2 linked regions of the Sus scrofa genome follow. The protein of the gene in region 1 interacts with the protein of each later gene in a pairwise test. Links are inferred from orthologs where the notes say so. Each region holds a gene or a part of one and is shown on either strand. Other genes may lie near its edges.

What was found. The genes of interacting proteins can lie anywhere in the genome.
Region 2: the proteins of DBNL (region 1) and SH3BP2 interact in binary tests that used the Homo sapiens proteins (3 or more experiments, as listed by UniProt). The link is inferred for Sus scrofa from reciprocal best matches to the Homo sapiens genes DBNL and SH3BP2.

Annotation. Positions count from the first base shown.
Region 1 is NC_010460.4:48,722,657-48,727,267, reverse strand, and holds the start of DBNL (drebrin-like protein), read left to right. Parts: upstream 1-1,594; 5' UTR 1,595-1,673; coding exon 1,674-1,756; intron 1,757-4,611. UniProt on the Homo sapiens protein: Adapter protein that binds F-actin and DNM1, and thereby plays a role in receptor-mediated endocytosis.
Region 2 is NC_010450.4:1,599,373-1,604,119, forward strand, and holds the start of SH3BP2 (SH3 domain-binding protein 2), read left to right. Parts: upstream 1-1,832; 5' UTR 1,833-1,968; coding exon 1,969-2,051; intron 2,052-4,747. UniProt on the Homo sapiens protein: Binds differentially to the SH3 domains of certain proteins of signal transduction pathways. Binds to phosphatidylinositols; linking the hemopoietic tyrosine kinase fes to the cytoplasmic membrane in a phosphorylation dependent mechanism.

The sequences.
Region 1 (4,611 bases):
TGCTGTTAATTCCTTCTAGACGGTGGGTTCCAGAGGGAGTTTGCCAAAGTGCTCCCTCTACTCTTGGGCCCAGATGCCTTCAGGACACAGTCAACTGCCCTCAGAGTATGGAGGCCACTGACCATTCAGAGTCCTGCTTTTGTGCCCTGGGATTTTCATCTAAATCTACCAGGAGAGCATCAAGAAGTAAGGCAGATCTGAGTCTGTCCACATGCAAGAAACGTACAGAGGCTTGTGTGAATGATGGAGAAATTCGCTAAGGAGAGAAGGGTCCTAGGAGTGACCTGTGGAGACATCTCATAGGCTCGAACCAAGGACCAGCTAACCAACACGAGAGATGGCGGAAGGAAACAGGAACTCAGGAAAAGCAGGCGTGAGAGGGAGACTGGTACCAAGAGGGTCTGCACAGTAGACAGAGGGACACTTAAAACATCCCTAGACCACGTCCTTTCTCTTTAAAGCCCACCAAGGACTCCATCCCACCTAGGAATAAAACCCAAAGCCCCGAGGTCCTATAGGATCCAGCCTCCACCATGCTCCTTCCCGCTCTTTCTCTCTGTGCTCCACCTCAGAGCTCCGACACATACTGCTCCCTCTTTCTGGAACACTTCTGCCCAGATCGTCCATAGCTGCACCCCCCACACACACACACATCCCCCAATCCAGTCTCTGCTCCACTGTTACCTCTGAGACGCCTTCCCTGATCCGTCAGGCAGATAAAAGCTCCCACACATTAGAGCAGGAAGTGGAATCCTAGTGCCCCCAGCTTCCCACACCAGGGACCCCCTCCTCTCAGTCTTCTCTCAGTGGAATCTGGGTCTCCCCACTTTTCCCTTATCCATAGGGATGAACCTGGTCACCACACGGAGCACCCCAATCCCTCGTCCCCGTGTTTAAAAACCTTTCCCTGAAAACCATTGGGGAGTTCAGGTCTTTTGAGCAGTAACTACCTGGACTCCTTGCTTGGCACCTGCAATAAATACTGCACGTCCCTTCACCATAACCTCATGTCAGTAGATTCACTTTACTGCACTGGGGCCAGTGGACCCCAGTTTGGTTTGGTAACGGGACCAGCACGGGCCAGGTTCTCATCTTTCCTCTGCTACCCCATCCTCAACCAAGCTAGAGAGGAAGACGCAGGTGCGATCAAAGAGTCCCAACAGCACTTTGAGTCTGTTTTGTGGCCGTGGGACCCGCATTTGGTTCATTCATTTTTATTCTTCTATTCATCAATTCACGCATGCTTCATTGATAGATACGACTTCTATTGAGGGGCCGCACAAGCTCGGGGCATCCCGAGCCTGCCGCGAACCCAAGATTCTCAAGTAAGTGCTTTAACTGCGACAAGAATTAGAAGCGAAAATGCACCGTGAGAACAGCTCATAGAGGATGGGTGGGGTCCCTCGCCACAAAGCTGGCCCAGCTCGGAGGGACAGCCCGGGGACGCGCAGAAAGCCGCGCCCTCTCTCCTTCCGCTCCTGCGGGGGCGGCTGCAGGCCGCGGGCCCTTTGCCCGCCCCCTACACGTCCAGCCAGTCCGCTCACCCATGTACTTCCGCTTCCGGCCGTTGGGGGCGGGGCTTCCGGCCGTCGGGCGGGGCTTCTGGCCGCCGTGGGCGGGCCGGGCCCGGAAGCAGCGGCGGCAGTGGAGGTGCGGGGACCGCGGGGTCGGCCATGGCTGTGAACCTGAGCCGGAATGGGCCGGCGCTGCAGGACGCCTACATGCGAGTGGTCGACGAGAAGTCCCCGACCGACTGGTGGGTTGCGAGACGGCCGGAGGCGGGCCGGGGGCAGGGGAGCCAGGGGGCGCGGAGTCTTGTCCGCCCCGTACCTGCGCCGCATCCGGGGCGCTGCGGCCCCCAGCCTCGTCACCCCTTGCCCCACCGTGCGTGGGCAAGTTAAACCCGGCGTGGGAACCCCGTGAGTCCCCAGCCCGTACCCTCTGCTAGCCACCAGTCTCGGTTCCGCGGGCCTCGTTGAATTCTGTGCTCGATGGCCTCGCCAGGTTCTTCTCTCGTGCCCGGGGACTTCCCTGGACAAAGGGGCCCTTCACAGCCCTCCCTGAGAAAGCGGAAGCCACGCCTGGCTTCTTCCAAACGCTGTGTTCGGGGATGGGCCCCTCAGAGTGGTCTGGAAGCCCGACCAGGAATGGGCGCCTTGCTCTGGAGGGTCAAACAGGGAGGTCGAGGGAACTAGGTGCTATGTTATTTGTGAACGTGTATTTCAGAACCTCCCTTTCCCCAAAAATACTGCAATGCTTGAGCCATGGGGGGGTGAATGAAAGGACACTGCTGGCCATAAAGGTCCCGTCTCCCTCCACCTCCTAATGACATCCTTTGCTAGGCTGGCAGTGTTAGGGACTTTGTAGAACTGGAAGCCTGGACCTGAAGTCCCTGGGACAGCCCTGGGCAGCCCACACATAGGGTAAGCTCTTTGTCCTGCAAGTAGGGTCCTTCTATGCTTGAGGATTCTGTTATTTCCCCATCTGCTTCTTGTTTTCGCTGGCCACCTTTGAGCACTAGGAAATATGCTGAGTAGGATGGACTAAGGTGACCAGCTCTGGGGAGCCTTTTTCCCATTGCCTGGGGAAGGGCCTTCTGGGCGTGGCTGTGCTACCATGACTCTCTCCACTTGTCAAGTGCTGCTACTTTCTTGGCTTCCCCTGGTGCCCAGCATAGGGTGGCTTTCGGACAGTGTACTTCTGTGACACTAAGAACGTTGTAGCCTTGCCTGTTCTTAACCCCCAGGCCTTGGGAAAGAACTTCAGAACACCAGCTGTCTGGGTCAGCAGACTCTCTGGGGCCACATCAGTGTGGGCAGGTCCCATTCACGAGCTGAAGAAATAGACCGTGGCACTTCCCTGTGTAAACTCTGCAGCGGCTTCCTCTTGCATCATAAATAAAGCCCCATGGCTGACAGGCCCTGCATGGCCTGGCTCCCCAACCCCCTCCTATTTATCACACTCTGGTCACACCAGTTTACCACCACTCTCGCCTCCTTTCTCCTCCTTAAACCCGCAAACTCATGTCTGCTCAGAGCCCTTGGACTTGCTGCGCCCTCTGCCTGGGGCTCCCCAGACTTCACTTCTCAGCTCTCATGTTACCTTCTTCTCAGAGAGGCCTGTTCGTGTTGTTTTGTTTCCTCACGTACACAGCACATAGAAGTTCCCAGGCCAGGGATCGAACCCGTGCCACAGCAGCGACCTGCTTCAATGACAGCGCTGAACCCTTAACCTGCTCTGCCACAAGAAAACCTTGCAAAGAGGCCTTTCTCGATTCCTGGTTCCCTGGCTACAGTCAGATTTTCCCATCTCCCTGTTTGACTCCTCCAGGCAGATGCCAGACAGCCTCACGGATTTTCTTGTCACCTTTCTTCCCCTCAGAAATGGTGGGGTGGGCCCCTTTTCTGTCTCCAGGGCAGGGCTGTTTATGTATAGTAGATGCGATGCTCAGATGGACTGAGGGGGTACAGGGAGAGTGGTAGAGGATATCAGAGCTAGAAGAGGTGCCCCCAGCATGGAAGGTCATTGTCATGTGCAGGCGGGGGCCTTGGGCCAGGCCGTGAAGCCAGGGGGAATGGGAGCAGCCACAGCAGCCCTTCTCCACGCTGGGTCTCTCTCCCGGTTCCCCAGGCGGTTCTTCCCCTGGCCTGTGGCATGTTTGCTCACTTCCTGCACCCACTTCACTACCTGACAGTATCTTAGTGTTGATGTCTGTGTTTCTTTTTTCTCCCTTTAGAAAGTATATTCCATGGACAGGGCCTCCTAGGGGTTATCCACGGCTGCATTTTCCCATCACCGGCGGGAAGCAGGTTCTTAGTGTGCATTTTTGGAAAGTGACGGAAATATAAGGAGCTCAGCAGCCCATGCTCCTTGTGCCGTATGCCTTCACAAGCCAGCATATTTTTTTTTTTTTTTCCATGTTGGTTTGAAAGAAGAGCAGAATTTGGTTGACTGTGGGCTGAGCCTCTGAACTGGGAATAATCAAGAAGGTGGCTTAAGCTGGAGCTCAGTGGAGGGGAATGAAGTCAGAGGCGTGGTGGGCAGCATGGAGCTTGGCTTGTTAGCTGCTGGAACCCTTGTTGGAAGAGCTGAGCTGAGCAGCTGTCTCTGTTCCTGCTACCTGTCCATTGTCCTCGTCTTCTGCAGTCAAGGTCTTGTGCCTTCAAGAGGAGCGGGCTTCTTTCTTCCAGGAGGAAGGCTGGCCAGGACTCCAGCCCGCCAGAGTCTGGACATCTACCACCTCCCAAGTCATTTCCTGTTTTCTTTCTTTTCTTTTTTTTTCATGGCCACGTCTGCAGGGTGTGGAAGTTCTGGGCCAGGGGTGGAATCTGAGACATGGCTGCAACCTACACCACAGCTGCGGCATCGCCAAAACCTTTAAACTACTGTGCCGAGCTAGGGATTAAACCCAGGCCTCTTCAGTGACCTGCACTGCTGCAGTCGGATTCCTAACCCCCTGCATCACAGTGGGAGCCTCATGTTTTCCCGAGTGTTTCCCCCTCGTTCGCTCTCCTCTCCTGGGAAGCAGTGGTTCTTTCCTGGCAGCCTGTCCTTCCTCCTGGCCAGATCTCTGAGCTTGGGTATAATTTCTCCTGACTTTCTCAGCCTTGG
Region 2 (4,747 bases), on another chromosome or scaffold:
TGGACGCTCCCGGTTCCTGGCAATCTCTTCATCTCCATGCCTGCAGCCCCCCCACCCCGCCGCCACTGCCCAGCCTCCCTGGGCTGGTGCCTTGCTGCTCTGCCTTGACTTCCTCATCCCACCCCCGTCCCAGTCAAACATGGCCCCCTCCTCTGATTTAGAGCCTGTTGGGCACCCCCTCTGGTCCCTCAGCCACTTGAAGCCCCAACCCCAGATCTGCTCTGCTGACCTGTCCCGGCTGGTCCCTGTCCCGGGGGCTCCTAACCTGCTGTTTTATCTCAACCGTCATCATCCATTTCCAGGTGAGATAACTAAGGCTCAGAGAGGCTCAGTCAGTATCCTGAGGCCCACAGCTGGCAAAGGGCAGAGGTGGGCTGGGTGCCAGGCTGGGTCTGACTAGTGGGTCTGCCCGTTCTGGGCAGCTGTGAAGGAGAAGGGGACAAGCCCCCACGTGACCTCCCCTTTGTCCATCTCCTTGGTCAGCTTTCAGCCACGGGGTTGGGGGGCACTGAGGTTGTCGCGGGCTGGGGAGGCCAGGGTCACTGGACCCACCTTGAGGAGAGCTTGGGCACAAAAGCCTGAACTCCCCGGGTTCCAGGGCACAGCGGGTGGCCTGAGACCCGGGCTGCCCCCAGGTGGCGTGGGGGCCTTGGCAGAAGCCTGGAGCTGTGTACTCTCTGGGAGATGGAGCCCCAGCCCCAGAATGCCTCCCTCAGTGCCCCGACACGCGTACGTGCGATGGCCAGGTGCTGGCACAGCTGGCTGTGGGGCTGTGCCCTGGGAAACCTGGTGGGCAGGGTGAGGCCTTTGCAACTCCCAAAGACCCTGTGGTCCACGGCCTCTGTCACCCTCACATCCTGCCGTGGCCCCAGAGCACTGCTTCCATCTTGGAGTGTTGTGACCTGGAGACCCAGGCTTGGGGAGAGGCAGGGGACCTGGGGCCTCAGCGCCAGAGCCTGGGCTTGAATCCCTGCTCCCTGCTTCCCGGCTGTGGAGCTGGGCAGGGGAGGAAGTGGGGCTTGGCGGGGCAGGGTAGGCCCAGGAGAGGGGCTGCATCCTGAGTGGAATGGGCCAGGGAGCAGGGAGTGATGGGGGCTGCTTTGCTACTCAGGCCAAAAGTGCTTTCTAGCAAGCCAGGTGTTTGCAGAGGCAGCAGACAGCCAGGTGTTTGCAGAGGCAGCAGAAAGTGGCGATCACCGGAGGCGTGTAAGCCCAGCCCGGTCACAGAGGCTGCGCCTGGCATGGGAGGCTGGTGGGGGGAGAGGGAGGGAAGGTGATGGGGAAATGCCTGGCGCAGGCTCGGAACTGGCCCCTTGGTCCCTTGGTATCAAGGGCTACCTTGAAACGCCAAAAGCTCCTGATGCAAGAGGCACAGCCCCTCTCTGTGGCCTCAGAAGGCGGAGTGGGTGGCTGTGTCCACGTTGGTGGCAGGAGCACGCCAGGGAGGTAGTGAGCTCCCTGTGTGGGGCACAAGCACTAGCTTCTTGTGGAGGTATCTCAGGGGCTGGGAAGCTGGGCTTCTGGGCCATCAGGTATTTGCTGGGAAGAAGCCAAGTACGCGGAGCTGGCCCTGGAGGGACTGCAGGGGCGCTTCCTCCCAGGGGACATGGCTGGCCTTGCCCCTGGGCCTGGAGAGCTGTGGTCTCTGGCCACAGTGGGCACGGCTAAAACCCAGCAGGCTAAACAGTGCTGACAGGGCACTGTACTGGGCCCCAACGGGCCTCAGGCCCTTGAAGGGTGGAAGGCAGGAAGTGCTGGCTACCGGGGGCTGCCCAGCAATCCAGCAACAGGAAGTCCTGGGCGGGGAGGAAGCCCTGGAGGCCGCAGGCCCCAGATGCAGCAGGCAGCTGCCAGCAGGAGGGATCGGCGGACGCAGCCAGCAGGCGGCATTCCGGGCAGTGCGGGGCATCGGGCCTCACCCGCCTGGAGGATGCGGGCTGAAGCCCCGCCCCATGGCCCCTGAGCCACATGGCCTTCCCGGGCCCCAGGACACCTGCCTCCAATCCAGTGCCAGGCAGGAAGAGAGCCATGTGCTGGGTCAGTGCCACCAGGTCAGTGGGCAGCCCTGGGGCTGGGGGTTCGGGAGGTGGTGTCAGCCCAGCACCCGTAGAACCGCTGAGGGAGGCTCCGCGTGGGAGCCAGGGCCCTCCTTGGGGCCGCGGTGGGCACCCGCAGGACGCTGGCCCCGGGCCCTTGAGAGGAGAGCCCTCAGGGATGGCCGGGGCAAACGGCGCCCAGAGAGACACCACTGCTGCCCCTGGGTCACGCGCCACTCAGCCAGCAGCTGGCAGGAGGGTGGGGCCTGGGTCGGGCGAGCCTTCCCACGGTACACCATGCCAGGGCAGCTTGGCCTTTGGGTTCTGTGTGCCTACATACTGCGTGATTGTGTGTGTGGTGTGAGTACGAGCATGTCCTGTGCCTGCAGGAGGGCAGAGCGAGCTGTGTGAGCCCCCCGGGAGTGCTGAGCTTGGGGGCCTGGTGGGGTGTCCAAGAGCCCCGGGGTCTCAGGGGCCCAGGTCGAGCCTCCCTCCCCTGGCACCGCTGGTCACGGGCCTTTGTAGGGATGTTTTGGTTTTCATTCTTTTATGGAGAAAGATTCTGGGAAGAGGAAGAAGGAGGAGAAACTGAAAGGGGAGCGAGAAGGAGCTGGGTGTCAGGCGCTGGGGCCCCGCGCCGCCTAGCGCCCGCTCTGGGCCAGGCGTGGGGGGCGCTCCATCATTGACTGGCTGTGTGACTTGACTTCTGAGTTCCTCAGCTTCTCTGACCCGTGGTGTCTTCATCAGTGACGTGGGGACGGTGCTGGCTCACTCTCAGGGGTGTTGTGGTGATGACGTGGGGTGACCTCTGAGAAGCACAGAGCCCGGCTCAGCCTCCTGGGCCGTGCGATGGGAGGGAAGCCTGGGGTGTGGCCAGCTGTCCGGTCAGACCTGGCGCTGGACCAGCGCGGGGCTGCGAGGCAGGGATGACGACCCGGACCTGGGCCCTGGCTGCCCGCCCAGGGCCCTGAGCCCGCCTGAGGGTCCTGTTAGCCCCTAGAGGTTGTGTGCGGGTGTGGATGTATGAGTGTGCGGGTGAGTACACATGCATGTTAGTGTGCGAGTGCACGTGTGGTTTACACAGGTGGGTGGGTGTGAACGTGTGCACTGGGGGACCTGGCCTCTTCTCCACTGGGGCTGGGACTCCCAGCCCCACCTCCCCTGCGGCTCTCACGAACAGGCCGGCCTGGTCACCACTGACAGGAACCCCCTGACACTGTGGTCACCCGAGGCGTCAGCTCCCTCACCACAGCTGGGGCTGAACCTGCAGGTGTCGTCCGCTCCCGGGCACAGGCTCACACGGGCACACAGGTGTGCGCACACACTGACGTGCACACACAGAGCCTTCTGCATTCAAGCTGTGCAGCTCATGCACATGTCCTATTTGGGGCGCCGTCAGTGACAATGACCGAGGGTGCAGACTACAGCTGCAGTGTGGCCCTGGGCTCACAGCCAGGCCGGAGGGGAGCTCAGCGGGGCTGTGGCTGTGTGACAGCGGTTTTCACCCTCCAGCTCTGTCCCCACCCGACAGCCTTAGGCCTTGGGTCCCACAGACCAGTCTCAACTCTGAGGGGAGGTGGGGGTGGGCACAGGAGCACAGCCGAGGCTCAGAGGTGCCTGCCTTCCCTAGTGGGTGTGCTGCTCACACGCAGGTACACACAATCGCATACCTCCTGGAAGGGCTCGCGCGGCCCGTCAGCCACCCTGACGCTGCCCTGTGCCTCCTGAGCCCTGCCCCCGGCGGCCCAAGCCTGGAACGTGAGTGCTGACCTGCTGCCGGCCCACTGGGTGGCCTCAGTCCCCTCCTGTGAGGGACAGATGTCCCCAGGGGAGGCCCCGTCACTGCTGCCGGACTGTGCCGGGCTGTGAGGATTGGGCTCTCCCAGGCCCCTTTTAACTGGAGGGAGGACAGGCCTGGCAGGACTGGAGCCCAGGGCTCTGGCACACTCCCTGCCAGCTCCCACCAGGGCTGCCCGGTGGGCACTGCCAGCAGCACAGGGAGGAGTCACCGTGGGGGTGTCTGCCCTGTGGCGGAGGGACGGAGGCTTCCTGCTGGTGAGGGGCCCCTGGGCCCTGAGGGAGAGAGCAGGGAGGCCAAGCTGGCCAGGAGCATGGGTGCCCCTTGGGGACTCCCCTGGACTTTCCTGGGCACCAGTGGCGTTGGAGCTGCGAACTGGGTGGAAATTCCCCCAGAGCTGTGTGGTCCGCATCAGCACGGCCCAGCGTCACCCTCGCCCTCAGCCACCACTTCCCCGTCCTGCTCCAGCTCGGCCTGGTTCTGGGCTCCGGGGAGGGTGCCAACCCAGCTCACCCAGAGGTGCAAGGCAAGGCTGGGGGGTTGCAGAGTGTTTGGGTATCAAGATGAGCTCCCACTTCGATGGCCCCTCTTCTGAGGCAGGGACATTCCCAGGGGAGGTGAGGGGGGAGCTCCAACCTGCCTTCCTCCGGCCACAGAGCACCTGCCTGGCCACTGAGCTGACCAGGTTTGGGGCCAGGAGGAGGCACCGGCGCCATGAGTCCTCTGTTCTGCCACCCCCCCTCCAGCACACCTGCCTGGAAAGGATGTGATATATGGGGGGCTGTTTCAGCTCCCTGTGCCTTCCAGGCAACTTGAGGTCCCTAACACCTAGCAGGGTCAACCTTCTGCATCCCCTTTGGAACTGCCTGGGCCCCCCCTCTGCTGGGCCTGAGCTGGTGATGGTAAAGAGAGT